Macaca mulatta: one gene and its partner. The protein of the gene in region 1 binds, or shares a complex with, the protein of each later gene. Links are inferred from orthologs where the notes say so. Each region holds a gene or a part of one and is shown on either strand. Other genes may lie near its edges.

The links.
Region 2: the proteins of NALCN (region 1) and NALF1 are in contact, whole or in part, in a cryo-EM structure (PDB 7CM3), measured with the Homo sapiens proteins. The link is inferred for Macaca mulatta from reciprocal best matches to the Homo sapiens genes NALCN and NALF1. Residues at the interface, in NP_001337678.1 of Homo sapiens: Cys207, Val209, Asn220, Leu222, Ala223, Ile224, Pro225, Thr227, Tyr237, Pro240, Phe243, Tyr406, Glu409, Phe909, Ala1044, Lys1045, Asn1047, Pro1049, Arg1054, Ile1060, Arg1062, Ile1063, Asn1064, Val1065, Ser1066, Lys1069, Lys1080, Lys1081, Gly1083, Phe1084; in NP_001073865.1 of Homo sapiens: Lys278, Glu281, Phe282, Val285, His287, Lys288, Tyr289, Leu290, Gln291, Glu294, Tyr295, Ser296, Val297, Lys298, Ser299, Tyr308, Trp311, Leu312, Gln315, Leu335, Gln338, Thr339, Cys341, Phe343, Ile344, Leu345, Pro346, Asp347, Asn348, Asp349.

What each region holds. Positions count from the first base shown.
Region 1 is NC_133422.1:95,723,099-95,739,556, reverse strand, and holds the end of NALCN (sodium leak channel NALCN), read left to right. Parts: coding exon 1-16; intron 17-1,565; exon of another isoform or gene 1,566-1,644; intron 1,645-2,639; exon of another isoform or gene 2,640-2,761; intron 2,762-3,234; coding exon 3,235-3,385; intron 3,386-5,376; coding exon 5,377-5,526; intron 5,527-7,301; coding exon 7,302-7,419; intron 7,420-9,891; coding exon 9,892-10,085; 3' UTR 10,086-11,583; downstream 11,584-16,458. UniProt on the Homo sapiens protein: Voltage-gated ion channel responsible for the resting Na(+) permeability that controls neuronal excitability. NALCN channel functions as a multi-protein complex, which consists at least of NALCN, NALF1, UNC79 and UNC80.
Region 2 is NC_133422.1:101,701,597-101,718,531, reverse strand, and holds the end of NALF1 (NALCN channel auxiliary factor 1), read left to right. Parts: intron 1-7,795; coding exon 7,796-8,085; 3' UTR 8,086-9,911; downstream 9,912-16,935. UniProt on the Homo sapiens protein: Auxillary component of the NALCN sodium channel complex, a channel that regulates the resting membrane potential and controls neuronal excitability.

The DNA of each region.
Region 1 (16,458 bases):
TCCACGACGTCCTGAGGTACAAGGCAGGCTTTTGCAGGGCTGAACGGGGCCAGAAACTACAGCCGTCAGCCTTCAAGGCCTCTGCAGTGTGTTTCCAACCCAAATGCCACATCTGCTGTGGTCGTGAAGCGGGGTCACATGTCCCAGGTGCTAAGTGCCCTTTCCCGCTGCCCTCCAGTGATCATTTCCAAGTAGGTGCCTCGCAGGGGAGGGCTGGGCAGCCATGCCCTGACGTCCCACAGGGGCCCCTGCCCACGGAGGTGCTCCCTGAGGGAAGAGGTTGAAGGGATCTGGGAGAGCACAGTCCCACCCCTTCCCTATGATGTGGGAGCTGCCCGGAAGAGCTGAATGACTTGCTTGTGGTTACAGGGCTCTGGCAAAGCTGGGACTAACACGTAGAGTGCCTCACTTGCACAGGTCTGATAAGAATTCGCCTGACCTGCTCTGTGATGGTTGCCCCATTGGCTAAAACACCAGATTTTCCACACATTTCATGAGCACCCAGACAGGACAGAGGGTCAAATGGAGTCTCTGCCTTTTCTTCTCCCTGGGAGACTTCTGTATTTGTTTCCTTGGGCTACTGTAACTTGGTACCTTAAGCTGAGGGGCTTAAACAACAGAAAGGTATGGTCTCGAAGTCCTGGATGCTGGAAGCCCGAGATGGAGGTATTGCAGGGCTAGTTCCTTCTGAGGCCTGTGAGGGAGAATCTGGCCCAGCCTCTCCCCTGGCTGCGGGGGGTGTGCTGCCAATGTTGGGCATTGCTTGGCTTGTTGAAGCATCAGCCTGGTCTCCCTTCATCTTCACATGGCATTCTGTGTGTGTGTGTGTATGTATCTATATTCAAATTTCTCCTTTTATAAGAACATCTGTCATATTACATTAGGAGTCCATCCTACTCCACTGTGATCTCATTTTAACTTAATTACTAATTACATCTGCAATATTCTTTTTCCAAATAACATTACATTCTGAGGTACTAGAGGTTAGGACTCCAACACTTCTTTCTTTGGGAGGAAACATTTAACCCATAACAGCTTCTTAAGCAGGAGTCCATGGATAAAACAGAGGCCCATGGACTTGCAAAGGGAAACAATTACATCTTTATTTTCACTAGTCGGTCTTTGAAATGCGGCATTCTCTTCCATGATGAATGTAGGCAACAAACCACAGTCACATTAGTAATATCCATGTCTTTGTTACCAGGAGAAATCATAGATATTTTCAGGTTACATAACTGACTGCCTTGGCTGACATCTTACAATATCATTTATGCTCACCAGTGCTTCTGAGTTAGGGTAGTCATTTGAGCTCTGCTAGATGGTATTATTTAATGGAATAATAAAGAAGCACTTATGTTACTATATCACTGCTGTTTTAAAGTAATTTGAGAATTGTATTTTAATATAATTGGTTTCCTTTGTAATACTGTATATTTCATTCTGTGCATCTAAAGCATTATTTTAAGAAATGTCCCATAAGCTGCACTGCCACAGGGGCCCGTGCCACAGAAAAAATAAGAGCGATTGACTAGCAGTAGCTATTTTAATCACATAGCAGTACCTACCAGTAGTGCGTGGGGTACTGTGTTGTGTCTCAAATTTCAGGAGAACTCAGGTGTACAGAAATATGCTTGTGGCCAGAAGCTAGAAAAAAAAAAAAGATCAGATCATCACAGGAAGAATCTGGGAAAAGTTCTCACGAGTTATCAATTTCACCTCCCACTATTCAGTTCTTCCACGAACAAGCTAAAAAGCAGAAAAAGATGGGACGGAGAAATGCATATGAATCACAGAGGATGTCATCTCTGTCAGAATGTTTCTGAGTCTCCTCCTAGTGACAAATTTTTTTAGGTTGACATGAGGCAGATAGGCATACTGTGGTCATTAATAGTTAATATTCAGCCTCTTTGGAACACACTGGTGTATCTAATAAAAATAGACCCAGGCAAAATCAATGGTGGGGCTGTTTCTCCCCTTCCTATTTATTCCCCTAGCCCAGTATATGATAAAAACAGTGAAGATAAAAGCAGTGAAGCTTTGATGAGATTCTTGATGAGTCAGGGAAGAGAAAATTCATTTTGTTCCCTCTGTGGTGGGAAGAGATTCAGCAAAGAACAGAAGTCCACTGTACCAGTGCTCTCAAGAGCCTCCATGCTGTGCTTTGGGCTCTAGGGTAGAAATGAGCTCACAGAAGCGGGTAGCGCACAGGTGCACCAGGGTGCATAGGTCTGAACCATAACCTGGAATCCTGTGGTTACACCTGGGTGCATCACACTGCCAAGAGGGCCTGTCTTCTCCTGTGGTGGTGGACTGCTCAGTCCAGGCATCCTGGGAGCTGCCTTACTGCCCCGTGACCCGCGATGCAAAACATCTGCTGTGTTGGCTTCATCTACCACTGCATGGGCCTGTTGTGTGTCGAGGGTTAAAAGGGAGTGGATATTCAACCCTGGGTTTGTTTTGTAGCCTCTAAAATCAATAAAGAAGGCCAGGTGTGGTGGCTCACACCTGTAGTCCCAGCTCTTTGGGAGGCTGAGGCAGGCGGATCATTTGAGGTCAGGAGTGTAAGACCAATCTGACCAACATGGTGAAACCTTATCTCTACTAAAAATACAAAATTAGCTGGGCGTGGTGGCACATACCTGTAATCCCAGCTACTTGGGAGGCTGAGGCAGGAGAAATGCTTGAATCCAGGAGGCGGAGGTTGCAGCGAGCTGAGATCGCACTTTACACTCCAGCCTGGGCAACAAGAGCGAAGCTCCATCTCAAAAAAAAAAAAAAAATTAATAAGGAAGATACAGAAGGATGAATGAGATAAACAGAGAGGGAAATGGAATGCAGTGGGTAGGAAGGTGTGATGCACAGCCAAGCATATTAACCATCACCACGTGGGGTTAAGTGTGAAGAAAGTATTCGAGGCACAGTCTCCCTTCTGCAGAGAAAGTCCTGAGTCTTTACCTAGCCTGGATCTTTTGTTTTACAGGTACTTAGATGGCACTGCTATAAGAGCCTCACAGATATTAACTTACTTAGTCATTAAATAAAGAAGTTACCAGGACTATCTTTATGAGACACAGAGAGGTGACAGGACCCGCCCAAGACACATGGGTGGTGAGGGGTGGCATCAAACGCTAGACTTGTTAGACGGAGTGATGTCCTCTCTGGATTTTGACATATCTAAAGGTGTAAATCTCAGGTAAATCAGAGCTGCGATTGCGGGTGTGTTCCCCCCACCAGCATGCTTTCATACCGGTCCGTGGACATCCGGAAGAGCTTGCAGCTGGAGGAGCTCCTGGCGAGGGAGCAGCTGGAGTACACCATAGAGGAGGAGGTGGCCAAGCAGACCATCCGCATGTGGCTCAAGAAGTGCCTGAAGCGCATCAGAGCCGTAAGTGAACTAACTGCACACATGCAGGTTGGGTCCCCGCCCTGCCCCGCCCGGAAGTAGGAGGACAAAAGAAAAGAGCTTCATGAACATGGGATTAGCTCCTTCTGTGATCGGCCTTCTATCCCTTTAAACTATGTCCACTACCTCCACTTACAGTGGTCAGATCTTGATGCAGACTTTCACTCTGGTCCACAGTCAGCCCTGCCCTCTGTAGCAGAGTCCATTAGGAGTTTCCATGGAATCCCATTTTTATAATATGACATGAACACTTAAAAAGCAGTTTATTGGCCAGGCGCAGTGGCTCATACCTGTAATCCCAGTACTTTGGGAGGTCAAGGGGGGAGCTCAACTCACTTGAGGCCAGGAGTTGGAGACCAACCTGCCAACATGGCGAAATCCCATCTCTACTAAAAATACAAAAATTAACCGGGCATGGCACACATGCCTGTAATCCCTACTACTCAGGAGGCTGAGGCATGAGAATCACTTGAACCTGGGAGGCAGAAGTTGCAGTGAGCGGAGATCGTGCCACTGCACTCTAGCCTGGGTGACACAGTGAAACTCCGTCTCAAAAAAAAAAAAAGTTTATTAATATTAAAATATGATGTCCATTTATTAAACTCCACTGTACAAAATTCTAGAATTTTCCACGTTGAATTTGCAAAACTACTTTAAATTGCTGCTAAAAATTTCAACAAACTGTGATAATGTTGTTTATTCTGAAAAGACCACCTCTCAAGATTAATGATGTTTCCTGCTTCCTGAGTTATAAGCCTATAAGATTCTCTAACTCATAAATTAATGAATGTATACTGCGTTGGCATATACTTTGTTTACAGTGAATGTCTCTATGAGATAATTACCTTTATGAATGCTTTTGGCATGTTTCACGGACGGGTAAAAAAACGCAAAGCAATCACTAAACATTTATATGTAACAGCGATTGTTTCAATCTTCTTCCTCAGAGCAACATCAATTGCAGAAACATGTATTTCTATTGGAAGAGAAAAGGTTCCCAGAGAAAAGATACAACTCAACCTCCTATAGCAAGGCCAGCTTCCCAGTGATGTCCCGTCACTGCTGGCCACTGTAGCTATGTTAGCTCCAGGGATCAATCTGTCCTCCTCTAGCTCTGAGAGGGCACAAGGAGCCCTGGCTTTTGTATATGCCAAGACAGATTGGTCTCCTGGATCGGCCTGGAAACTTCAGAACCAAGACAAGCACGAAGGTTTTCTCATCCACCCGAGGCACTTTGCCTCTTACAATTTGCAGGAAAGTGGGAAAGGGGTTGGGGTTGTATTGGCTTAATGAGCCTAGAATAAAATAAGAGGAGAAAAAATAGAATAGCTACATTAGTAATTTTAAATAAGATACAAGCTGGGCAGTATCTCATGCCTGTAATCCCAGCACATCGGGAGACTGAGGCAGGAGGATGGCTTAAGACCAGAAGTTTGAGACTAGCTGGGGCAACAGAGTGAGACCTCCTCTCTGGGAAAAAAATAATTAATTAATTAGCCGGCCACAGTCATGCACACTTTTAGTCTCAGCTTCTCAGAAGGCTGAGGCAGGAGCATAGCTTGAGCCTAGGAGTTTAAGGTTACAGTGAGCTATAATAATCACACCACTGAACTCTAGTCTATGGGACATAGTAGACATAGATCCCATCTCAAAAAAACAACAAAAAAACAGAAAACACCAACAACAAAAAACAAACATAAATAAAACACAAGCATCAATGACCGTCACTATTCCTATTGTTACACAAATGAAAATGGACTGAGAAGTCAACACATACCTCTCTAAGCCCACTTTTGCATCAGCCTACCTTAATTGAACGTTGAAATTAGTTCAGGATCTTTACCTGGAAATTCCTAAGAGGTCACCAATCATGCGGGTCTTAGGAGAGGGGAGAAGAAAATATGATTTGTGTGGCGGTGGGGCAGGTGCGATGCTGGGTTTATTTTACTAAACAAACAATCGCATTTCCATAGAAACAGCAGCAGTCATGCAGTATCATCCACAGCCTGAGAGAGAGTCAGCAGCAAGAGCTCAGCCGGTTTCTGAACCCGCCCAGCATTGAGACCACCCAGCCCAGTGAAGACACGAATGCCAACAGTCAGGACAACAGCATGCAACCCGAGGTATGGGCACGAGGCGTCCTCCATCCCAGGACACTCCGTGGGCTTCTTTCTTTTAATAAAAATAAATAAAATGGGTGCTGGTCACATCATTCAAACAAGGTGACAATATTTCTAATAGGAATATTTTCATTAAAAAAAAAAAAGACAATGGAAATCCATTGATCCAGATTACGTCTGTGTCTTTGCCATCTTGGATGTAGTTGAGGTTATTTAAAAATATTCTGATTCATATGAATGCCAAAAAACAGCTAATGCCCTGAACTTTGTAATTCTGTAGTTTTATTTTTGTCTAAAGAGTGAACATCAGATCTAAGGGCTGCATTTTAATCTGGAAATATTACATGGAGTATGGTTTACATGAAACTCTGCCCTAAATGTTTTCCTGTCCTCACTAAAGTCATAGAAATTTGTGGTAGAATCAGTGAAAATGTTTGTAATTGGCTTTCAACCTCCTTAATCAGACTCATTGAAGATGTATCCTTTCTTGGTTGGGTATCAGAAGAACATATGGAATTCAGGACAGTTGGCTTGCGGAGTTTTTATTTATTAGGTCACGGCATATTTTCATTTTCAAACTTGATGTATGTGTCTATTTTAAAAAGTAGAGGGAGTTATCAGTGTCCTGGAGAGTCCTGTGCTGTGAGAAGCAGCTGCCTGGGAGGACCTGCCCCTTTATGAGGCAGCAGTTACAATTTGAGGTTAACAACGTGGAGCTGATCCTGTACTCTGTGCAGAGCCCCAAGAGCACCAGGCTCCGTGAAGTGCAGCACTGCAGCCAGGGGCCGGGAGTACCTTTGGAAGCCTAAGGCTCCATGGCCCAGCAGGGTGCTCCAGGAGGCCCACTGGTGCCATAGCCCAGTTTTCAGTAGATTTCATGTTTTGGGCTCCCCAGCCTTTAGAAATTATCTGCCACCGACTGCAGGGATTTCTGTAGAGTTAGTCAACCAAGGGGCAAGGTGAGGCATCTACAGTGGTCTTGCCACTGGTCACCCTGAAGATGGTTGGCAATGTCTCGCATGGGGGAGGGAGGCAGGCTGAGGTCAGGAAAGACAGTGAGACAGGGCCAATGAGGCCGGGGAAAGTGACGATTGTAGAGGCCTCTGTTTTTAGATGAAAAAGCCTAAGAGGTCACACACACACACACACACACACACACACACACACACAAACACACACACACAAAAATCCAAGAGGGGATATCAAAGAGATGTGAAGACCAAGGCTTTTAGAAAAGGGAGAGGTGACAGGTGAACCCGAGAACGGGTGAAATGTGTGGGATGTCTTGGCATCTCTCTTTGACTTTAGCTTAGATTGTTACCGGCTCCATCCTCCGCCAGGGCCCATCATACAGCTTTGCCTGAAGAGAACTCTTTCCCTGAGGCTCTAAGTGTGGATCTCCAGGCTGGTGAAAGTAGACTTCCCCTGTCCAGCCGGTCCCCACGGCCCCACCTTCCTTCCTTCAGTGTCCCGTCCTTGCCCCCTGATTTGCCAGCAAAGATATGAAGGGAAACAATGACATTCTCAGGCACGGAGGGGACTGAGGCAGTGGGGGTTTCCTGGGAAGAGCGGTGTCCCCTTCAGCACGACGTGCAGTGGTAGCTCTTTTGCTTCTGTGACCCTTTATACCCGTGTTCCCTTTTCCCCATTATGGACATTCTGAGTCCATGTTGTTCTTCCCGCTTGTCCTCCTGCCATGTGTTTTCCTTTCTTATAGTAAAAGGAGGAGAGCACAGGGTTGAGAAAGACAGTAACTGCATGCTTCTCCTCCCATGCAGACAAGCAGCCAGCAGCAGCTCCTGAGCCCCACACTGTCAGATCGAGGAGGAAGTCGGCAAGATGCCGCCGACGCAGGGAAACCCCAGAGGAAGTTTGGGCAGTGGCGTCTGCCCTCAGGTGGGTACATCCAGGCATTTCTCCAGCGATCGAGGCATTTGAGAGGTATTTACTCTGTTTGTGTGTTTTGGGTCTTGCCTTTCAAAATGCACGTCTGCATCTACAGTTGTTTACAGACAGCAACATAATGAAAAATGTAGTCTTGTCAAAAACACTGCCCCCAAAAATAACTTCTCTAAATATGACTTACATTAGCCCCCATTTTCTGGGTACATTTCAGGCTATCGTGGTTGAGAAGCCAGCACCTATGAAAAAGCCAAGATTCAGAAAGAGGGAGAGATTTCCAAGGGCTTTCTGTGTGCCTCAAGGCATGCCCAAACATGGGCAAAATGTATTTAATTGAAGAGGGAGTGGGCAGATGCACTCATTCAGAAAATGCCACCAAGTTCTCCAAAAAGGGACAGGCCCCCTATTTGTCTCAGAACACTTTGCAGCTGAGCTGGTCACTGGCTTTAGGCAAGCTGCTTTACCTCCGTACAGTAACAAAACAACAAAAAACATGTGGTACTCACTGTATGCCAGTCACTCTCCTAAGTGCATTACTTGTGTTCTCTCATTCAATCCTTTCCTTTAATAAACCCATTATTTTCCATATTTTACTGATTCAGTCAGAGAATTTTCTTCTATGAGCTTCTTCTGTATAGGGTTTTGGACAGCCAGGATAATCCCATTAAAAGCACTCAGGAATGGAGGGAGAGCAGTGTTCCCCACAGCCCAGTGTCCTTGTACATGTTTTTCTCTATAGATAACTAACTTCATGCTAAAGCAGGAGCTTATAATGATCTTTAGCTGTGCCCCAACGTCAGCCCAATCGAAGTTAGTTGTGTAGCATATGTGTTCCACAAAGCGGATGACAGCACAGCTTACATTTTGAGGCTGACGATGTTCCGTGGATCTTCACTGGGACTACCACCAAGGAAAGTATCCCCTTTCATATTCAAGAATTTATTTTTCAGAGATCAGAGAAGATGTAGGTTCCTCCTGATTCAAACACAGCAGAGAATGACAGCATCAAGACAAAGCAGATGGTGGTACCAGGTCAAAAAAAGCCTTCAACTACAAGCTGACTAGGTTCAGTTTTATCCTGGAGGCAATTAGGACCTAGCAAAGATCTCTGAGCATATGTGATTTTTGGAATCTATGCTTTAGGACGTTGACTTGGCACCAAAGGACGAATTGTCCACAGCAGAGCCTGGAGGCAGGTTACAAGCTGGAGGAAGTTACCACTGTGTGAGCATGAGGCAACAAGGGCATGGACAGAGCTGGGGGCCAGATGCTGCAGGGACAGATAGGAGAGGTGACCTGGGGAGAATGCACAGTCCTTGGTATTCATTTAAATGGACAAAAGAAATGATGCTGTCAAAAGTACTTCCATTGGGCCGGGCGCAGTGGTTCACCCCTGTGATCCCAGCACTTTGGGAGGCCGAGGCAGGTGGATCATTTGAGGTCTGGAGTTCAAGACCAGCCTGGCCAACATGGTGAAACCCTGTCTCTACTAAAAATACAAAAATTAGCTGACCTGACCAGTAGTGGTGCGTACCTGTAATCCTAGCTACTTGGGAGGCTGAGGCAGGAGAATCGCTTGAGCCTGGGAGGCAGAGGTTGTGGTGAACCAAGATTGTGCCACTGCACTCCAGTCTGGGTGAGAGAGAGAGAGAGAGAGAACCTGTCTCAAAAAAAAAAAAAAAAAAAAACCAAAAAAACAAAACTTCCACTGGTCCATGCCTAGGTGGTCCCCACCAAAAACTGTGATCATGAAATAGACATGATCTTGGGGTCAGGCTGAGTTTGGGGAGGCAGAGGGGAAGAAAAATAGTATTTTGAGGGGGCAGCAACAATGTCACCAGGTGTCATGCTATGCACTTTCTTAAGTCATCTCATGTAACCTGTTTTAATCCTGACAATAGTGTAATTAGGACATTTTCATTGTCTTCATCTTACAATGGAGGAAACTTGGATTCAGAGAGATGAAGTTGCCCATAGTTACATATCCACAGGTTACAGAGGTGGGTCCCAAGACCATGACTGTGAGGCCCCAGAACCACACCTTTCCTCCTGTGCCCTCACTGCATCCCTCCTCGCCTTCACTGTGGGTCACAGTCTCCTTCCTTTTTGTTTTTTTCTTTATTGCATATGCTAACGAATGCACAGGTTTCTATGACACTTAAGAGTTCCCAAATTGGAATTTTTAGCCATTTTCTAGTTTTTGTAATTATTTCAAAATGAAAGGGGGTGAACGGCACTTTTTTTCCCCCAAGTGGCATCATGAGTTGTCCATGAGCATAATTTAAAAAAAAAAAAAATCTATCGTGAACATAAAGAATCAAGTCCTGAAAAGGATGTTTACTTAGCGTCTGTGGATAGAACCTGTTAGCCAAAAGTATCACTGATGGGAATATCATGGGTTTTTAGGAATGAGTACAATAGGGTGGAGCACTACCAAGTGGCTCATAGGACTCATTAATTCCACAGCACCAAAACCAATAAGCCATTCAGTGTCCTCAGTCAACTTACGGTTTGGAGGGAGGACAACCATGAAATCTGTCGTGTGCAAAATGAACCCCATGACTGACGCGGCTTCCTGCGGTTCTGAAGTTAAGAAGTGGTGGACCCGGCAGCTGACTGTGGAGAGCGACGAAAGTGGGGATGACCTTCTGGATATTTAGGTGAATGTCAATGTGGATGAATTTCTAGTGGTGAAAATTGTTTTCTAGTAATTTCCTTGATTGTCCAGTGAGCAATCTGTAATTGATCTATAGCTGAATTCCAACTTGTCACAAGATTTTTATAAATTGATGTTCATCCTGCCACAGAAAGGCATAAGCTGCATGTATGATAGGTCACTATCATTGCTCAAAAAAATTTTGTATACTGACTGTACTGATAATATTAGAAACGATACAGCAAGCAAATGTATATCACTCAAAACTGTCATATATTCTGTCTGTGTAAACTAAGGTATATATTCATATGTACTCTAATGCAGTATTATCACCACCCCCCAAAAGAGTGCTAAGCCCAAAGTGGCTGATATTTAGGGTACAGGGGTTATAGCTTTAGTTCACATCTTTCCCATTTCCGCTAGAAATATTTCTCTTGAGAGAATTTATTATTTATGATTGATCTGAAAAGGTCAGCGCTAAACTTATGCTAAAATGATAGTAGTTTTACAAACTACAGATTCTTCTTTTCCTCACATTATATTTTAAAATATACACAAGACATTTGGCGACCAGAACAAGTTGATTTCTCTCCTCAGTTATGCTAATGAAACTGTTGCCTCCTTCCGAGAAAACTGCGTATGCAAGCACCAGGCAAAGAAATGGACTCAGGATGCTTACTGGTTTATAACAAACCTGTAGATAGATCACCTGAGTGACACAGTTGTGCAAAGATGTTAAGTTTCTTAAGAAGCCTTTTAATAACTCAGTTTAGCAAAAAGAATAAAACTGTATAGCTCAATTTATTTTTAAAAAATCTTTGCATGTGTGATGTTATTGTTGGTTTCATTTCTTACCCAAGGTATGTCTGTTTTGCCACAAATCAGCTGAGTCATTTCATTATGGGTTGCTCCTAACACACCATTGCTATGTTACATTTGAAATGACATCTCTGTTACCAGAATCTCCTATGGAAATAATGGTGCCCTGCAAAATCTTCCTCTGAACTCACAGGTTAGGGATCACACAACTTAATCATTTTTCGTTTTTGTTTTTTTGTTTTTTTTTTTTTTTCCTTATATGTCAGTGGCCCATGTCCTCTGGGAAAATTAGAAAAGCCAAATGATTACAAAGTGCTGTTAGATTTCTTGTGCTGGGTTGGCCAAGTAGTAGTGGACTCAGACCTTTAACTATTTTATTACAGACTGGACATTTGCTGTTCAGATGTGTTTTAGCAGAGGGATTATCTCAGAACCCTCTGACCTCCAGGTTGCTTTATGATCTATTTTTCTCTATTTAACATTCCTCAGACAGGCAAATAGCACATTCCTTCTGTGTCACAGATGTGTCATGGTGATGGCAGGCTAGAGTTTATATGATTCATTGTAACTATGAGATAAAGAACAACCAGTCCATGTGGCCAAAAGGATTAGATTTGATTTGATGTTCACTTGGAGTTTACTTTTTGTACATACAAGATAAAATAAATATTGGATTTGTAAAATAATTTATGCTGAGTTGACCATTTTTAAACCCTCTTCTTGGCGGGGCAGGCACTCGGTAGCAGCACATTGCAAACCCTGGATTGAACATTCAGTCCATAATTAGTTGGCAAAAGCTGTGTCCCTGATATCCATTTCAACTCAGTTCTCTGAGCCAGAATGTTCCTTTTACATTTGTGCTGATAAGGCTGAGCGAATACCCTGCGCCTTCCAAGCCTACAATGAACGGAAAAGGCATTTACAGGTCCAGGGCATGGGTCTGTACTAGTGCTGCATAAAAACAAGATGTTTTTGGCTCATTACACTTGAGAAATACAGCTTCATTCTCACGAAACTGCTGAGCCCTTCCTAAAACGTCTGGAATTGATGTTCAGCAGAACATCATTGTTGTTCATTCTGCAGTGAAGCCAGGGGCAGAATACCAATGTATTTAAAGCCATAGCACTCTATATTTTCAATGAAGCAAAACAGTCACACACTTCCTGTGGGGCTCCTCACCACAATTTTCCCGAAACAGAGCAGATGCAAGCCAGAGAAAGTAAGCGCCACCCCCTTTTAGATTTTACCCCTAGATACGCAAACATATGAACAATCCCGTTACACAGATGGGAAAACTTGGGCCACAGTGTTCCCTGGTCCTTAGGGAAGCCAGACACTGATACTAATCCTGTCATCACACCACCCACTGCCTTTAATTAGAGGACGCTGTCGGTTCCAAAGGCACCAGAAAGCGTATGGGGTGGAATACTTGACTCAGAGCCCCTGAGAGAGCAAGCCACACACGTGTGGCCCTTATGGCAATTCAGGGGGATTCAAAGGGAACAAGGATGGACAGAATGGAAGGGCTGATGCTATTCACTCTATTCTTAATGGTGCTTCCAGATCAACATCCATCAGCTGGCTGTGCCTTGGCCAAGATGATGAGATAAGGGCACGTAGAAGAAAAACCAGCATTATAAAGCCTTACAGGAAAGCAGCTTTAAGCCAGTGGAATGATGTGTTTTGTGTTTGCCTGTTTCTTTGTAGGAAGTGGCATTCTATACATGAGTGATTTTCAATATATTGGTAAGCAGTGGAACTGTTTCTCAAAGTCCTTCAACAGATCCCAAAATTTTAACCAGCCAAAAGCCAGGCAGCCCTGGTTGAAGTTGAGGTGAAGATGAAAACGCCACTCATATGGTCTCTTCTCACCCACTATTACGGGTCCCCATGATATAAGGTAATTGTTAAATCTGCCATAGGAAGGTGGAGTGGTGATCAGAGGAGGCTTTTGGAGTGGTGGTGCCATTTGAATTAAGTATTAAAGAAAGAATAATTGGATTTAAATTGTCAGAGATGGGGAAGCAGCAGACAGAATGATGCCTGGAATAATAAAAGGAAAATTATCAAGGAGAGCGTCAGTTGACTCTATTCAATGAATTCCAAATCTTCTGAACAGGTGTGCAAAGGCAAGACTGGAGACTTGGTCAAGGGCACGAAGAACCTTGAATGCCCTACACTTCATGTGGACAGTGCTCAGTAGAAAAGGGGAGTCTGTAGAGGTGGGGAGGGAGGAAGATTATAGTAATAATGCAAGACACAGGCTTTAGGAGGAGCACACCGGGAGCAATGTGCAAAATGGAATTGAGGAGAGAGAGACAGATGCAGGGTGAATGTTTACAATACCCCAGCTCTCCAAGAGAACTGTGGTTCTAGTTCTCCAACCTCGAAGTTGAACTTCTATAGCAGCACAGGACATGGAAGGAAGATGGAGATGTGACAGGGACTTACTGAGATGAAAGGGGCTGCAGGACCCCACCACACCGGCCTCATTCATCTTGCACCAATGACTTGCTCTTCCAAACAACACTGCCCTCTGTTCATCTTTTCTTCAACCAGTACCCACAGAAACACCCTGACCATTTTCTGGACCTAATTCCAGAGGACCCTTTCTTTGCTAGCTTTCTCCCACAGGCCTTATAACTTTTATTTAACTTACCTTTTTTGTTTGACTCAGTTCCCTGGATCACTTGTTAATCTTTTACATTATAATTGCTTGGGAGTACTACTACTACTCCTGGATCTTGCAAGCTGAATGGAATTTACAAGTTGGGAGTTTACTAGGTGGAGTTTTATAGTTGATGGGAGAGGGATGGCGCCTCCAGACTCACCTTCTCTTTACAGCTATCCCCCTATGGAACACCCCTTCTCTCTTTGACTTTAGGATTGCGTTTTGAGATATGGGCATCAAACTGCTCAGATTTTATTGTGGGGATGGGATGAAGAAGAAGAATAGAGGTGTTGGAAGAAGAGAATTAACTAAGGCAAAAAGAAACAAAAGTTACCTAGAAAGACACACATTCTCCCTTTATCTACTGACCACAGTGGTCTGGAATGAGGACTTATCATAAATAATGACAATTTTTCCTGGACAGAATTATGGTCCATCACCATTGACACCTATTCACTCCCTATCTCTGACCTAGCTGGTTCCAGGTCTCGCAGTATCTTTTCCATATCATCTAAGCACCTCAATAGTCCCCAGACTTCTCTCCAACCATGCTCAAGGTCATGGCTTCCTATTAAAAAAACAATTCTGTAGGCAGAAAAGTGCTTTCAGTCTCTCTCCTTCTCTCCAGCGTGAACCATTCTATGTGCCCTCCTTCCTCCTTGGCTTCAAACACAGGTGCTCCCTCTCTTCCAACCCTTTCCAACAGAGCTTTCATCTGTGCCAACTCTCATTTCTGATACACTATCTTCTTATTGCAGCCCCTACATTCCTGAACAGAAGTCACACCCAGCCTGAACATGCTGCACGCTTCCTCATTCCTGGGACATTCTTCTTCCATTGGGACAGAGCTCAGCAACGTCCAGTGCAGATTCAGTACAAAAGTTACACCAGAGAGATCTCCTTTCCTATGATGATCCTCTGAGAATTCAATTCACAGACGGAAAAACAAACAAAGTAGCTTTCCAAAAGACAGGTTATTCTCTAATTAGGAAGAGCTGTCTGAACTCTGCCTATAGTAATTTATCAATGGAAAGTCTGAATAACACAAGACACGCTGTAATTGCCTGAGATCGGCTATTGTCCGATGAATGAATCAGCAGGTAGTTCACTTACTTACTCATCCATTCAAGATTGGGGCAGTCATGCTTCTTGCTCTGTGAGTCTACAGATGGATGCTCTAATATCATGGTGCTCATGGTCTATTGGGGAAGCAGAAAATAAACAGGTAAATATATAAGTCAGAAGGTTTTAAGTGCAATGGAGAAAAATTAACTTGACTCAGAAGGACAGGCCTTCCTCTTGGATGTAATTTACTATTAAAGGACTCACTGCTCAGTTGCCATTTTGGCAGAGACCTGAGGCAGTGTGCATGGCAGCCATGGGAAATAAATTAAATTAAATTAAATGATAACTTCCCATTCCTTCCTTCTGCAAGCCTCGGACCTTCTAATCTACATTCTGTCTCTATGGATTTACCTGTTCTAAATATTTACCGTAAGAGAAGCATACAATATTTGTCCTTTTGTGACTTTTATTTCACGGAGCACAGTGTTCTCAATGTTCATCCATGTGGTAGCCTGCGTCCATACTTTACTCCTTTTCATGGCTGGGTAATATTCCACTGAAAGTGCACACTACATTTTGTCCATCCACTCATCTGCTGATGGACATTTGGTCGTTTCTACCTCAGCTTTTGAGTGGAGGTCACATGCTTCCTGGATAATCCTCAGCCAGTGATGGAGCACAATAATAAAAGGGCTTGCCATTTTCCAGGCAGCATGGGACTCTTCCACAGGCAATCTCTGCGGCAAAAGCTCCCTGCTGGGCTGGCTGACACTTTCTCAATGCAGTACGCATGGAAATCTGAGGCTCTTCATCCAATCCTCCTATCCCCTCCTCTCCCTGCAAGGATGTCAGACCTGCACTGTGGTCTGAAGGCCCACCCTGCCCACTCCTGTCCCTTCTCTCCTTTATCTTTCACAGGCCTTACCCCTGATAAATCTCCAGCTTTCCTAACACTGCCTTGTAGTCTGCTTCCCAGAGGATTCAGCCAACTTAGTGAGAGAGTGGGCCATGGAAAGGCCTCGGACAAGGGTGTTCTGGCAGAGGAAACATGAGGTGTCAAGGCCTTCAAGTGGATATAGGTTTGGTCAGTTGGAGAAAATAGCAAGGAGGCCATACTGACTTGGAGTCCAAATACTAAAAGGGAAAGAGGGATGACATGAAGTCAGAGATGTCACAGGAATCATATCATTCAATACTTCCTAGGCTGTGGTAATCCTTCACTATTCCTATTTCCCAGTAATTCAATGAAATATTAACCTGGGTACTGCTGTGATGAAATTTGGCAGATGTAATTAAGATAGCAGACCTTAAACCAGGGAGTGGAACACACTAAAATTAGAGAAATGTCTCTGGCTGGAGTGAGAGAAATGTGGCTGGAGTAAGAAGAGTAAGGAGGAAACATCTAAAGCAAAAGACGGACCTGGACCCTACCTGCTGTGGGTGGAGGGGCCACCTGGAAAGATTGAGGGATGCAAGCAGCATCTAGGAGCAAAGGCCACCTTGGGCTGACTGCCAGAAAGGGAATGGAGATCTCATTGCTACAACCATGGGAACTGAATTCAGCGAATAACCTCAATGAACAAAGACACACATCCATCTCCAAAATTTTCGAAAGGGAATACAGCCTTGCTGTCAATCTGATGAGATTCAGGGCAGATAAAACAGCCAAGCCTACAGGACTCTGACCTGCAGAACTGTGAGTTAATAAATGGGTGTCGTTTTCAGCTGCTAAGATGGAGACAATTAGTTATGGCAGCAATAGAAAACTAATACAAGAGAGTTGGCAAGATGGCTGAATAGGAACAGCTTCAGTCTGCAGCTC
Region 2 (16,935 bases), about 6.0 Mb from region 1:
CTGTAATTACCCTGTTGTACTAACAAATACTAGATCTTATTCATTCTATCTAACTATATTTTTGCACCCATTAGCCATCCCACTACCAACCCCCCACTACCCTTCCCAGCCTATAGTAACCATTATTCTATTTTTTATCTCCATGAGTTCGTTTTAATTTTTTAGCTCTCACAAATAGGCAAGAACATACAAAGTTTGTCTTTCTGTGCTTGGCTAATTTCACTTAACATAATGACCTCCAGTTCCATCTGTGTTGTAAATGACCAGGATCTCCCTTTTTTTTTTTTTTTTGAGACGGAGTCTCGCTCTGTCGCCCAGGCTGGAGTGCTGTGGCGCGATCTCGGCTCACTGCAAGCTCCGGGTTCACGCCATTCTCCTGCCTCAGCCTCCCGAGTAGCTGGGACTACAGGTGCCCGCCAGTACGTCCGGCTTTTTTTTTTTTTTTTTTTTTTTTTTGTATTTTTAGTAGAGAAGGGGTTTTTCTGTGTTAACCAGGGTGGTCTCAATCTCCTGACCTCGTGATCCACCCACCTTGACCTCCTAAACTGCTGGGATTACAGGCGTTAGCCACAGTGCCTGGCCTATTTTTAGTTTTCTGAGGAACCTCCATACTTTTCTCCATAGGGACTGTACTACTTTTCATTCCCATGAACAGTGTTCCCTTTTCCCCACAACCTCACCAGCATTTGTTATTGCCTGTCTTTTGGGTAAAAGCCATTTTAACTGTGGTGAGATGATATTTCACTGCAGCTTTGATTTGCATTCCTCTGATGATCAACTGTGTTGAGCACTTTTTTATATACCTCTTTGCCTTTTGTATGTCTACTTTTGAGAAATGTCTATTCAGATCTTTTGCCAATTTTTAAATTGAATTATTAGATTTTTTCCTATGGAATTGTCTCAGCCCCTTATATATTCTGCTTATTAAGCCCTTTCCAAATGAGTATTTTTCAAATCTGTTCTTCCATTCTGCGGGCTGTCTCTTCATTTTGTTGATTATTTTCTTTGCCATGCAGAAACGTTTTAACTTGGTATGATCCCATTTGTCCATTTTTGCTTTGGTTGCCTGTGCTTGCAGGGTATTACTCAAGAAATTGCTGACTAGAGCAACATCCTGGAGACTTTCCCCAGTGTTTTCTTTTAGTAATTTCATAGTTTGAGATCTTAGATTTAAGTCTTTAAGTCATTTTTTTTTTTTTTTTTTTGAGACAGTCTTGCTCTGTTGCCCAGGCTGGAGTGCAGTGGCACAATCTCGACTCACTACAACCTCTGCCTCCTGGGTTCAAGCGGTTCTCCTGCCTCAGCCTCCCCAGTAGCTGGGATTACAAGCTTGTGCCACCATGCCCAGCTAATTTTTGCATTTTTAGTAGAGATGAGGTTTCACCATGTTGGCCAGGGTGGTCTGACACTCCTGGCCTCAAGTGATCCATCTGCCTGTGACTCCCAAAGTGCTAGGGTTACAGGTGTGAGCCACAGCACCTGGCCCCTTAAGTCTTTAAATCACTTTGATTTCATTTTCGTATATGGCAAGAAATAGGAGTCTAGTTTCATTCTTCTGCATATGGATATCTAGTTTTCCTGGCACCATTTATTTAAGAGACTGTCCTTTCCCCCAACTTATGTACTTGCCACCTTTGTCAAAAATGACTACACTGTAGATGTATGGATTTGTTTCTGGGTTCTCTATTCTGTTCCATTGGTCTATGTGTCTGTTTTTATGTTAATATCATGCTATTTTGGTTACTGTACCTCTGCAGTACAATTTGAAGTCAGATAATGTTATTCCTCTAGTTTTGTTCCTTTTGCTAAAGATAACTTTGGCTATTCTGGGCCTTTTGTGTTTCCATATAAATATTAGAATTATTTGTTTTATTTCTGTGAAGAACATTATTGGTATTACTGCAATTACTGTTGCACCAACCTAATATTTTTTACAGGGATTGCATTGAATCTGTAGCTTGCTTTGGGTAGCATGGACATTTTAACAATACTGATTCTTCCAATCCATGAACATGGAATATCTTTCCATTTTTTTGTGTCCTCTTTAATTTCTTTCATCAGTGTTGCATAGTTTTTACTGTAGAGATCTTTCACTTTTTTGGTTAATTCGTAGGTATTTTATTTGTAGCTATCATACATGGCATTGCTTTCTTGATTTCTTTTTCAGATTGTTCACTGATGACATATAGAAATGTTACTGAATTTTGTATGTCAATTTTGTATCCTGTAACTTTACTGAATTTGTTTATTAGTTCTAGCAGTTTTTTGGTGGAGTTTTTAGTTTTTCCCATATATAAAATTGTGACATTTGGGGCTGGATGATAATTAATATAAGAAAAATAAAAATAAATTTAAATAAATTTAAAAACAAAATCATATCATCTGCAACAAAGAATAATTTGACTTATTCTTTTCCAATAAGTCAAACTGGATGCCCTTCTTTCTCTTGTCTGATTCCTCTAGGTAGGAATTCCCCTGATAATAAATTCTGATTTTACTATTTATCTCTACTTACAACATGAGTCATTAATATTATGTGAGATTTTCTTACCTGCCATGCACTGTTCTAAACAATTTATGTGTATTATTTAATTCTCAAAAAGAAAAAATCTCTGTGAGGTTGGTACTGTAATGTCAAACTGATTCACTAGAGATTTCAAATAGAACAGCTTATAAGCAAAATGTATCAGAACATTTCACCACCCAGAAAATTTGCTTTTGTTTTTTCCTAATGCTAATTTGTGCAATTGTACTTGTTTGTGCAAGGAGGTTCTTGTTTGAGAAATTATTTTTACTTGGAAATATGTTTTTATAGTTTCTTCAATGCTGAGGAAAAAGTCGTTTCTGTAGGTAGGTGGAAAATTTCCTAGGAGATTTGCCCCAGCAGGTTATCTGTGTGCAGGTGGTTTTTGGAGGAGAACTCTCAGGCATGCTACCTATGATGGGGTGAAGAAGGAGAAATTTGGTAGAGGGAAAAAATCTGAAGCTGGGATGGCCCTTGAGAGATGTCTTGACTTCAGTCAAGTGGGCACAGCCTTGGGACCCCTCCCTTGTTTGGAGGCTGCCCAGGGCCTGAGAAATAGGTCAAGGCTGCTGACTTCAACCAACGGCAGTGTCTGGGAGGCATGCAGGGTGAAACCCTCTGTAGATAGCACTCCGAACAGGAGGAGTCTGTGCCCCCAGGTCCCAAGGAGGTCATTGATCTGCTTAAGTGACCCAGTGACTCTATGTAAGTCAAAGAAATAATGGCCTTAGAAGGCTGCATGTCCTTGCGTACTCAGAAATGCATTTGACAGAGAAAAAGGCATCTGTCAGAATTCAAGGCAGAGAAGAATGATGTAGAAAAAAGAGCTGGAAAATTTTCTAGGCAGTCCCAACCAAAAAGATTGTTTTATGGCTTAAATCCAAAAGAATCGAAGAATAGGTAAGGAGATAATAATTAAAACCTCTTAGAAATTAGAAAGTCGATGCATACTAACAGATTTGCTGAAACTTAGGAAAAGTAATATGAAGCAACAGAGAGGAAACAGAGTCAGTCCGATTTACATCCAGACTCAGGGATTGACAACACGAGATACAATGGAAGAAAAGGCAAAATAAGGAAGACTGAGTGGAAGTCAGTTTTAAGAGGCAGTCAGGTCCCCAAATCCCATTCCGTATTCCCATCCCAGAGACTGGGGGCATATTTCTTTCTGGAGGAAACTTTTTCTTTTTGAGGTGACATAGAAAAGGTTGTTGGTATGAGCAACAGTAGGAGGAGTTCAGGGCAGGGGACCACCCTGACCACCAGGATCCAATGCACACCCCCACCCTGAAGCTGAGACTCCCCCAGCCCCATCTTGCTGCTCCCTCCTGCTCCCTGGCCTTCTGCTTCCTGGATGGATATTGGATAGACTTTTCTGGGGAGTCTGATCAACCTAAAGACAGAATTTTAAAAGTTTCTCCATGCTGGCCAGGCACGGTGGCACCCGCCTGTAATCCCAGCACTTTGGGAGGCCAAGGCGGTAGATCACCAGGTCAAGAGATCTAGACCATCCTGGCCAACATGGTGAAACCCTATCTCTACTAAAAATACAAAAAAATTAGCCAGGCATATTGGTGGGAGCCTGTGGTCCCACCTACTCCGGATGCTGAGGCAGGAGAATCACTTGAACCCGGGAGGCGGAAGTTGCAGTGAGCCAAGATGGCGCCACTGCATTCTAGCGTGGCGACAGAGAGAGACTCCATCTCAAAAAATAAAATAAAATAAAATAAAAAAGTTTCTCCATCCTAACCGTTCAGGCATGTCATCTCACAGTGCGGCTCACCGGCCACAGTCCTCCTTAGGTGCCCAGACTTCCTGTCCTTTTCATTTTGTGCAGACAACTAGAAATGCATGGTGTTTCCATGAGAAGAACAAGAGACAAACAAACACAAAAGGTGGCAACACAGAGAAAATGGAGGGAATTTATTCAGAGATGGAATGAAACACAACAAATAAGGGTACCCCAAATATCTCAGATATCTCAGAGTGAAAAAAACATCAACATGGTCACCACAAAATAAGAACAGTTGCTTCAAAAAGCAACATTCAGATAACACGAAGGAACTCTTGGAACTTAGTCCCAGGGAAAAAAGCAAAATTCAGTGAAATTATGTCCCGTGAAAACTCACCAAATTCTCCTGAAACTAGAGTTAAGGGATGAAGTAATATGAAATATTAACAGCAGAGGTAAGAAAATTAAAGGACAAGTTCTGAAGGTCCAACAGCCAAACGTAGGACCAGTGATTGAATAAATCTGAAGAATGATCATTTCTAAATTAGAATTCCATACCCAGCCAAATAATCAATTAAATGTGAGGTAGAATAAACACATTTTAAGGCATATGGCATCTTGGAAATTCACCTCATGAGCTTTTCCTACTGAAGGCATTAGAGGTTGTAAACCCCCAAAAGGAGAAAGAAGGGGATGAGGCACAGGATACAGGGAACAGGGGATCCAGCACTGCAATGCACAGAGCGGTAGAAACTCATCAGGCATGATGGCAACCAGTCCAGACGGTGGGAGGCTCCAAGAGATATTTCTTCAGAAAAGAACTGATAGAACACCTGATGCAAATGAAAAAACTGGCAATGCATTTGGGTTGAATTAGTTAGAAAAGGGAACATAACAAGACAAGTATTATCTGTAGAAAAAAAATGAAGCGGTACAGGGATAGAAAATTGGACTTTACTACATGGTTGAACTAAGAATTACATTTATGTCATCCTAATACTGTAAAGGCAACAGCAGGTATCAAAGTTACTATTTATGGAGGAATGGGTGAGGGTTTGGTGGGAAGCATATTTGCTGGAAGGAGGAGGAGAATAAATGTTTTATCTCCACATTTCCTGAGGGGAATCTACAGATAATGCTAAAAAATGAAAAATCAAGAAGAGCATAAAACATGTTATTCTCAGAAAAGGAGCTAAATACAAAGCAGCTGAAAGATATGGAAATATTTGCCTTTGAGAAAGAAGAATTTGAGATGTGGGAGGTGGAGGATTTTTTGTTATTTTATAAAATACTCTGGAATTATTTTATCTTAATATAGATGTGTTATTCATAAGTTTGAGTAAAAACTTGTTAAAAAGATGGACAGGAGAGAAAAAAGAAAGAATATTAATTGTGCCAGACAAAAAGAAGGGTTCATTTATTGGCCTGAATGAAGTGCTTCTATTTTTTTTCTGCGATGACTTTAGTTGTAAATCAGCAAACCAGTTTCTGAGCAACTTTGGAAGAGCTTCTTATTTACATAACGTTGTTAAATATATTCTGATTATTAGCATTCTAAAATGTTGATCTAAAGGACTTCTAGATTTCTATTTTTATAATCTTATTGTAAACTCCTTTTGTTATAGTATGTAGTATTGGAAACGTATATTTCAATAAATGATTAGTCTACCACTGAGATATCTTATATGAAAAAAGAAAATATCATACAATAAAAATGTCAGAGCTGAAGACCTCATTAATTCAGTTTTTTTTTTTTATATTCTACCTAGGCGAAGGTGAAGTTTACCTTTGAATGCCTAAGAAGAAATGAATATTGTAAGCATCATTATAAGGATATCTTGTTCATTTCTTTAAAAGAAACCGAAGATTGAATGTATATTATTTGAGATTCTTTTTAATTAAATAAATAGGTATACTGAGTTTATTCATGTAATAAATGCTCATTAAGTATTTTGTTCAGGCGTTCTGCTACATGAGAATGCAAAACTAAGAATGTATAGTTTATGCTTTTAAATTGACAGATAAGAAAATTGAAATTAAAATGAGCAATTGTGATTAAAAGAAAAATAACAATAATTGCTATAATTAAGGGTTAAGCAAAATGCTAATAGCCCAGGGGTATGAGTACAAGCTTCATACAGGGAGTTTCACTTGAACTACATTTGGAAGATAAATGAGAAGTATGTAGAGGAATTGATGGAGGACATTTTAGAAAAAAACAGTGACTTGGCTAGTGATACAGGCTTGGGTGCTCTGGGACGAGCCAGTGCTTCAGGAATGTGGGAACATTGAGCAGTGAGCCTGGAGAGAGAGGAGAGACCTTTAGATTTTATTGTTTAGGTTGAAGCAATGAGATACCATTGATAACTATTGTTATTCACAGTAGCCCAAATTTTCATGTTATTTCTATGTGCTAGCCACTGAACCAAGCATATTACATGAAAAATCTCATGTAATCCTTACAACTACTCTACTATTATCCCCATTTTTGTTTTTCAAGCATGACATTAATATGACAAAATTTGTCTAGAAAGTTCATTCTAACACCCACGAATAAATGGTTCAGTCAAGTAGAAAAAAAAAATACACAATGATTTATACAGCTTGCATAAAAATATTCTATGTAATACAGCAAGGTAAAGGATTGGAAAGATTGTAGATACACCGTGGTTTTATTCTTTTCACTACTTCCAAAGTTTTAAAATGTGCATCTGTCAATTTTAAAATAACAATGTGTGTTATCAGAGGAAGAAGAGAAAAAGGGAAGGAAGAGTTTCAGCAAGGAGGAATAAAGTGAAGAGAGAACAAGAGAAGCAGAGACAGACAATTCCTGATAGGCACAATTGGAGGACAGATCAAATGAGAAGACGAACAGCAGAGAGACTCCTTCGTGATGGTCCAAGCAAAAGATAAGGAAGCCTCAATTCAGGCAGACTTCTATAGAAAGCAAATGGAGAAGATGGAGAAAAATAAGAGAAATGTTTAGAAAATAAATCAAAATGACCCGATCACCATTGGACACATAGATGGTTTTGCCCATTCTCCCAGACAGGGAGAGAGAAGACTTGATGAGGCTTCTGAGAGGAAACGATGATAACATGGTTCCTAGAGCTATGACATGATGATCTGTTGCTTATTTCACTCAGCATAACTAGCTAATGTCAGTTTATGCATTGCATAAATTGGTCACATTCCTGTTAAAGAAGAAAGGATGGTTGCATGTACTTGATCTCCAGGTTGATCCAGAACCTCAAGTTCTGACTTTGACTTAATGAAATCTTCTATTCTGTATTCCCAACAACCCAGAACTTTCATGGTATGACTGGCAGGAATATAAAAGAACAACTTGAGGAATCTAACAATACTGGTTTGAGAACATGGGTGACTCTTTATCCAATTGTATTGACTTGATTTTCCTTTAAAAAAAGTCTAATTGCCTGTAAGGTTGTGTGGGTTAGAATGTTAAAGCAACAGCTTCACTCTACTATGTCGCAAATATATTTCCTTCCTGCTGACACTCTGCTTCCTTCTTCCTACAGGGCTTTATGAAACCTTTCTAACCAATGATGAACCAGAATGCTGTGACGTCAGGAGAGAAGAAAAATCAAATAACCCATCCAAAGGGACCGTAGAGAAAAGTGACTCCTGTCACAGGACATCGCTCACAGTGTCATCAGCAACAAGACTGTGCAACAGCAGACTCAAGCTGTGTGTTCTTGTACTGATTCTCTTACACACAGTGCTCACAGCCTCGGCAGCACAGAATACAGCCGGACTGAGCTTTGGAGGCATCAACACGCTGGAAGAAAACTCAACTAATGAGGAGTAACGGAAGGACGAGTGTCACCACAGCAGCAGCTGGCCCGCCATGAAAAATGGCAACTGCTGTCTCATGTAACAGAAACTGGGTGCTTTTACCCTCGAATTACTTATTGCAAGGCCTTTAGGGTAAAATTTAAACAGATGGGCCTGAATCCAAACAAGGACACAACCACAGCTTTTTATTGACTAAAAGGCTGGAAAGTGACTTTAAATTTCTCACACCATTTTATACACTGTGTTTTAATGTTTGGAGGTTTTATTTGCTTTCGTTTTGGTTTGGGTTTATTTGTTTGTTTATTTTTTGCACTTGTTAATGCAGGATTTATTTTGGGGGATGGTTTCTCAGAGGTAAACTAAGTCTTTTCACTGTCTCTATCTCTCTATATTTCTAGTCATTGTGTGTGTTCATCAGATAGTTCTGTCTTTATGTCCTGTCAGTTTCTATTAGAGGAATGATTGCTATGACCTCATGGTATAGCAAAAAACAACAACAAAAAAAGAATAAAAAATAAAAAAGACAAAAAAAAGAAAACAACAAAAAATAAAAATAAAAAAAATCCCTAAGTCTCCCTTCTACCCACAGAACCAATACCCTTCCCGGCCTTTCCTTTCCCTCGCCCTCTTCTCGTCCCCTAAGCAAACAACATCCGCTTGCTTCTGTCTGTGTAACCACAGTGAACGGGTGTGCACACTTGGTGGGCCTCTGAGCCCCTGTTGCACAAACCCAAACCAGAGCGGAGCCAAGGGGGCCTGGCAGGAGTTCCTTTTTAGCTGAACAAACAAGTGCTCTCCATAATAGGTGGAATCAGACAGTTAACACATTTTTATGTTGAAAACTAAATAAAAGGAAAAAAATTAAAAAAAAACACTATCATGAACTGTATTGCTCCAGTTCCCATCCCCAAGTGGCCCAGCCCTTTCTTGCTGGTCCAGTTGGACAGGAGCAGCTATCTAGAATCAGGATGCAGGGAGTGAGGAAGTTTTTTCCTTTGACAATGGAGGTGGGCTTTCATTGTGATTTCAGTTCTGTTGCAGTAATATACGAGCACATTTTGGCCATTGTAATTACAGGGAACAAAGGGATTGCGGACACATATCTGGACTTCTTTTCCTCCCTTATTGTTGTGGAAGAGACACTAGAAATGCTCAAACACCTGCAATATACAGAATATATACAATTTTATTCCAGTATTTCCCTAACATATGGTTTAAAATTATTCCAGGTATACAGTGTATGCAATTCTGCATTATCACAGAGGAACAACTTCTTTTTAAAAAAATAAATAGTTCAGCCATTTTTATTAATGTGCAAAAACTTTATCACTCTAACATGCTCTAGGTAGTTGAGGAAAAGAGGTCTGATCACTCTGTATTTTTTTTTTCTTTGTGGGAACATTTCACCTGCTGAGTGTATATGAATTTGCTTTCTATAAAAGGCTTTTATGAGTTTACAGTAGAATCAGTGGAAGGAAGAGTTAATAAGGGCTGTTTTTAAAAAACAAACAAACAAAACAAATAATTAAAAAAAAACATTTTACATTCCTTCCTATTCTCTAACTACACTTGGGAAGTGCACTTCAGATAAGTTTGCAGTGTGACTGAGAGATGAAGGAAATCCATAGAAAAGGTCCTCTTAGCGAACAAAATTTAGTTATTAACTTTATAGCTATGAAATTTCCCTGGGCATTTGTTTTTGTTCAAACAGACTTTAACCTCTGCATCATACTTAACCCTGCAACATGCGTACAGTATGCATATTTTGTTTTGAAAAAAAATGTTTTGTTCCAGTCTGTTAAGAATATTCAAAAATAATAAAGGTATTGCTTAATAAAATTGCTAGAATTGTTTAGCAGTACATGCACAATATTTTACTAGATTCTTTGTTTTAATAGTGTTTTGTTGAGACTGAAAATCCTAAAATGGTCTGCGCAAATACAAAAAAAAAAAAAAACACCAAAAATGCAACATTCTCCCCGTTTTTGTTCTTTTAAAATTTTTTTTTTCTGCAAATGCAAAAACATTACATGTGGACAGACACATACACATAGGCATATTTTAATTTATGGAAACATCGTGCTTTTCTGGGGACACAAGCCGAGGAAGTGAATGGCTCGGGGGAGACACATTAATTGCATGGAATCGTTGACTATGAAACACTTGTAGAAATGAGCACTTTGGTATCCCTAACCAGTGGCGGAATGCAGATTCCAGTGGTGCTGGGCGGACAAGAAGCAGAGGGATTGAGGCTGCAAGAGATTCCTGAGGAAGAGCTCACAGGGTGATTTTATTCAGATGACCTCTAGGTGAATGGCCAGGAAAGAGTCTGTTCTGACCTTTATCTACCTCTGCTGTGCTAAGGCCACTCCACATGCCGTCTCACCATGTCTTCAGCGTTCCTCATGCTGCTTCTCCCTGTGCCGCAGGCGTTTCCAATCTTGCCGGAAGATGACAAAGCAAATGCGAATTCACTCACTTTTATTGGCATGACAATAAAGTATTCTTTCTAAACACTTAGCAAAATGATGAAAAACAGTATTCCTTGAAAGATAGGTTTTCATTTTCTCAATATATTTTGAACTGACTAAAGTTCTTTACAAATACAAGAGGATCAGAAGGTTCCACTTACCCGTGTTTTAGCGTTTGTTTGGAGATAGTGCCAACCAAAAGCTGGAAAACGAAAACCACCATTACTTTCCATAAGAGGTACGCCCCCCAAAACAGTTTTGAAAGTTGGGAGAAACACTGCAGGCTTCATCGTAAATATAAAGTGATAATTTAGGTGAGGAAGGAACAGTAAGGAGAGAAGGGGAATGAATCCTTTCTCCGTATCAAGTCACCCAGCGTTGGAACAGTCTCTGATGCTGGCGGAATCTTTTTCTTGTCATGTTCATCTGTTCTATTACAGGAGAATGATTTCAGTGCGTAGTATCTATTATTGTAAGTGTGTAACCACTTTCTCACAATATTTCCATTGGACATGTTGAAGCAGAGCAGCTTCTTCTGGGGTCAGCCAGAGGATCCAAATAGGCAACAACTCCTTTCCCAAGCTCAGAAACAATCACTGATGATGCAGATTTCACCACATCCATTCATTCTTCGTAGTAGTTTTCCTGGCACACACTTGAGCATGCTTAAGGTTGTGCACATGTTCATTTTGAATAAGTTCAGCCCCTGCTCCTTTGTAATCATCTTGTTTAGTTTTTCCTGTAGAGGATGTCTACCGTATACTGGATAGTGAACTACAATATTAAAATAATTATTTCTGCAAGCAAATTGAAAACCAAGAAAACAATATTTGTTTCATAAATGTGTGGCATAGATTTCCCTGTGTTTATTCTTTTTATCTGCAATCGAGAAATTTCAGTTTCTGGAATATGTTGGTACTGCTAAGCTAAATGGCAAATAACATAGAGTTCAATGTCATTCTTTATTGCATTTACATTTGGTGATACATTATACTGAACTTTTCTCGCATTAAAAGGATAGTACTTTTCCCCTCTCTCACAAGACAGTAAGTGAAAGTTGTTCTTTTGAATGGCATCATTACAAAAAGTAATTTGGTTTCTTACTAATAACTTGGTACCTTAAGTACTAGAACCTGTAGTAGTTAAAACAAAAGAAAATAGGCAGATAGCAGAAACAAAAGAATGACAGGAAAGGAAGGAAGGAAAGAAAGGAGTGAGGGAGGGAGGGAAGAAGGGAGGGATAGAGGCAGGGAATGAGGGGGAAAGGAGGTTTTATATGAATGAATAAGTACATAATTTTTCCGGGGGAAAAAAAGTAAATGAAATAAGCAATTGGATGCCAGACCCATGTGCCAAATACCTGAACTGGCATATGGCATTTGATATCTGAACAATGTCAAAAACGTTAATCAATCTGAAGCATGATTTACATTATTTCTCACTAACAATGAAATTTACAATGTTCTTGCTACTCAAAGCATTAAATCAACAGAGAACTGAAAGCTGCATTTTGTCTTATTTAGAACTGCAGTCAGGTATTTCATTTCTTTTCTGTTTGTTTTTTCTTTTTCTTTTTTTTTTTTTTTTTTAGATGGGAACTTGCTCTGTTGCTCAGGCTGGAGTGCAGTGGCAAGATCTCTGCTCACTGCAACCTCCGCTTCCTGGGTTCAAGCAATTCTCCTGCCTCAAGCCTTCCGAGTAGCTGGGACTACAGGCTTGTGTCACCATGCCTGGCTAATTTGTGTATTTTTAGTAGAGACGGGGTGTTGCCATGTTGGCCAGGCTGGTCTTGAACTCCTAACCTCAGGTGATCCGCCAATTAGGCCTTTCAAAGTGCTGGGATTACAGGCGTGAGCCACCGCACCCAGCCAGGTATTTAATTTCATAAGTATACATATGCATATATGAGGAGATAGGGTTATATACCATGGTGTGTGTGTATATATATGTATGTATATATATATATGTATGTATATATACACACACACACACACACATACACACATTGCTTGCAAATAAAACTTCAACTAAAACATTATGTAGTCCGTAACAACACATGTATACCATAATGATGAATGATCCTACTTGTTTGTCAAAGTTAGAGCAGCATGATCATTTAAAAACCATACCTACTTTGACATGGGAAACAGACTCTCAAAATGTCTCCATTAATGAGGAAATCACAATTTTGAAACACCCAGAATCTCCATCTTCCAAGCTTTAGCCATGTTTATAAAAAACCTAATATAGCAGGTAGGTATTGGGTGATGATGAATAAAAAGACTTTCAGTGGGGAGAAGGAAAAAAACTAAATATAGTTTTCAAGCAATGTCTTCATGACATTTATAAAAACTATGAAACTCTGCTACAAATTCTAGAAATTCTCCAAATAATTAGAAAATGTACAGATAATCTTCTTAGCCTTGGAATAAAAGTTAAGGCATGAAACAAAGTATGAACTATGGTTTTCATTCTTGAGATACTGTACTTCAGGGTTATGTTTACTGCACACAAGACATTCAGATTAAACTCAGAAGAAAATCACTTGGTTATTTTGTCCCGGGCCACACAGGTAAGTAATGCAAATGATGGAACTCAAGCATCTTCTGATTACAAATTACTCAAGCTGGCTCGGAGGCAAGGTGGGATCCATAGGTCTCAGACACACTTGAAGAGTTGAATGGATTTTCTCCATACTCCAAGATATTTGTAAAATCACTCAATCTTAAATGAAAAAATCAAAACCGTCAGGAAGATCTAGCGAATGTCTCAGAGTTTGTTTGTCATGTTACATTTTGTTCCATGACTTTGCTGTGTTGTTCAATATTTTGGAGGTAAAGGAGAAGAGGGTCTATGGGAATATTTCAATAAAATATAGATTTTTAATTTTTATTTTTAATGTGGAGAAAAGGCACAGGTTCTTAGGGCAAAGCCATGGTTTGGGTATGAGCTTTGGCTCCAGGTGACACAGGGAGGTCAATGATGTATTTGTACATGACACCATGCGAGAAGTGTACTTCGTAGCAACATTGGAGGCTTAAGAGAGATAAATAATATAAATGTGCCTGGACACAACAGGTGCTCAGTAGTAGTTAGTTATCGTGACTATTCATTCACAAAGTGAAACTGGATTGGCTTGCTCATAGGGACTGCTCCTGGAAGTTGTTCAGAGTTTCTGAATTTGGCTTATCTCTTAATTACGTATTTTTTAACAACACCTCACATCCTTAATCTAGCAGACTGACCGTCAATGGATTTTTCAACACAGTTTGAAAGTGTTAACATATATTACAGAACTAAAGTGAGCTCTGATGACTTTTAATATAAACAGCATTGGCCTCTTTTGATGTCCTCTCCCAAAAGGCTACTACTGACAAGCAAACGTTAGAGGCATCTACACAAATAGAGGTGGTTCTATATAAAGTGTAAATTGATCTACAGTGGTACTAGAACTACTGATGCAACTTCAAAGTGGTTGTTAAGCCACTCATAGATCAAAAAATATATATAAATGTTTGATGCCTCTGAATTCCTTAAAAAACACTATAGTAATTTTAAACTTATGAAAATGTTTAAATTGGGGACGGAGCAAGATGGCCGAATAGGAACAGCTCCAGTCTCCAGCTGCCAGTGCAAGCGACACAGAAGACAGGTGATTTCTGCATTATCAACTGAGGTACCGGGTTCATCTCACTAGGGAATGCCGGATAATCAGTGATGGTCAGGGACTGCAGCCCGACCAGCAAGAGCTGAAGCAGGGTGAGGCATCTCCTCACCTGGAAAGCGCAAGGGGGAAGGGAATCCCTTTTCCTAGCCAGGGGAACTGAGACACACAGCACCTGGAAAATCGGGTAACTCTCACCCCAATACTGCACTTTACCAAGGTTCTTAGCAAACGGGCACACCAGGAGATTATATCCCACACCTGGCCAGGCGGGTCCCACGCCCACGGAGCCTTCCTCATTGCTAGCACAGCAGTCTGCGATCTAACAGCAAGGCAGCAGCGAGACTAGGGGAGGGGCGCCCGCCATTGCTGAGGCTTAAGTAGGTAAACAAACTCGCTGGGAAGCTCAAATGGGGTGGAGCTCACAGCAGCTCAAGGAGGCCTGCCTGTCTCTGTAGACTCCACCTCTGAGGACAGGGCATAGCTAAACAACAACAACAACAACAAAAAGCAGCAGAAACCTCTGCAGACGCAAACGACTCTGTCTGACAGTTTGAAGAGAGCAGTGGATCTCCCAACATGGAGGTTGAGATCTGAGAACGGACAGACTGCCTGCTCAAGTGGGACCCTGACCCCTGAGTAGCCTAACTGGGAGACATCCCCCACTAGGGGCAGACCGACACCCCACACCTCACACGGTGGAGTACGCCCCTGAGAGGAAGCTTCCAAAGCAAGAATCAGACAGGTACACTCGCTGTTCAGCAATATTCTATCTTCTGCAGCCTCTGCTGCTGATACCCACGCAAACAGGGTCTGGAGTGGGCCTCAAGCAATCTCCAACAGACCTACAGCTGAGGGTCCTGACTGTCAGAAGGAAAACTAACAAACAGGAAGGACATTCACACCAAAATCCCATCAGTACCTCACCATCATCAAAGACCAGAGGCAGATAAAATCACAAAGATGGGGAAAAAGCCGGGCAGAAAAGCTGGAAATTCAAAAAATCAGAGTGCATCTCCCCTTGCAAAGGAACGCAGCTCATTGCCAGCAACGGATCAAAGCTGGATGGAGAATGACTTTGACGAGATGAGAGAAGAAGGCTTCAGTCCATCCAACTTCTCAGAGCTAAAGGAGGAATTACGTACCCAGCACAAAGAAACTAAAAATCTTGAAAAAAGAGTGGAAGAATTGATAACTAGAATAATTAATGCAGAGAAGGCCATAAACGAACTGACAGAGATGAAAACCATGACACGAGAAATATGTGACAAATGCACAAGCTTCAGTAACCGACTCGATCAATTGGAAGAAAGAGTATCAGCAATTGAGGATCAAATGAATGAAATGAAGCGAGAAGAGAAATCTAAAGAAAAAAGAAGAAAAAGAAATGAACAAAGCCTGCACGAAGTATGGGATTATGTAACAAGACCAAATCTACGTCTGATTGGGGTGCCTGAAAGTGAGGGGGAAAATGGAACCAACTTGGAAAACACTCTTCAGGATATCATCCAGGAGAACTTCCCCAACCTAGTATGGCAGGCCAACATTCAAATTCAGGAAATACAGAGAATGCCACAAAGATACTCCTCGAGAAGAGCAACTCCAAGACACATAATTGCCAGATTCACCAAAGTTGAAATGAAGGAAAACATCTTAAGGGCAGCCAGAGAGAAAGGTCGGGTTACCCACAAAGGGAAGCCCATCAGACTAACAGCACATCTCTCGGCAGAAACTCTCCAAGTCAGAAGAGAGTTGGGGCCAATATTCAACATTCTTAAAGAAAAGAATTTTCAACTCAGAATTTCATATCCAGCCAAACTAAGTTTCATAAGTGAAGGAGAAATAAAATCCTTTACAGATAAGCAAATGCTTAGAGATTGTGTCACCACCAGGCCTGCCTTACAAGAGACCCTGAAGGAAGCACTAAACATGGAAAGGAAAAACCGGTACCAGCCATTGCAAAAACATGCCAAAATGTAAAGACCATCGAGGCTAGGAAGAAACTGCATCAACTAACGAGCAAAATAACCAGTTAATATCATAATGGCAGGATCAAGTTCACACATAACAACATTAACCTTAAATGTAAATGGACTAAATGCTCCAATTAAAAGACACAAACTGGCAAACTGGATAAAGAGTCAAGACCCATCAGTCTGCTGTATTCAGGAGTCCCATCTCACATGCAGAGACATACATAGGCTCAAAATAAAGGGATGGAGGAAGATCTACCAAGCAAATGGAGAACAAAAAAAGCAGGGGTTGCAATACTAGTCTCTGATAAAACAGACTTTAAATCATCAAAGATCAAAGGACACAAAGAAGGCCATTACATAATGGTAAAGGGATCAATTCAACAGGAAGAGCTAACGATCCTAAATATATATGCACCCAATACAGGAGCACCCAGATTCATAAAGCAAGTCCTTAGAGACTTACAAAGAGACTTAGACTCCCATACAATAATAATGGGAGACTTTGACACCCCACTGTCGACATTAGACAGATCAATGAGACAGAAAGTTAACAAGGATATCCAGGAATTGAACTCATCTCTGCAGCAAGAAGACCTAATAGACATCTACAGAACTCTCCACCCCAAATCAACAGAATATACATTCTTCTCAGCACCACATCACACTTATTCCAAAATTGACGACAGAATTGGAAGTAAAGCACTCCTCAGCAAATGTACAAGAACAGAAATTATAACAAACTGTCTCTCAGA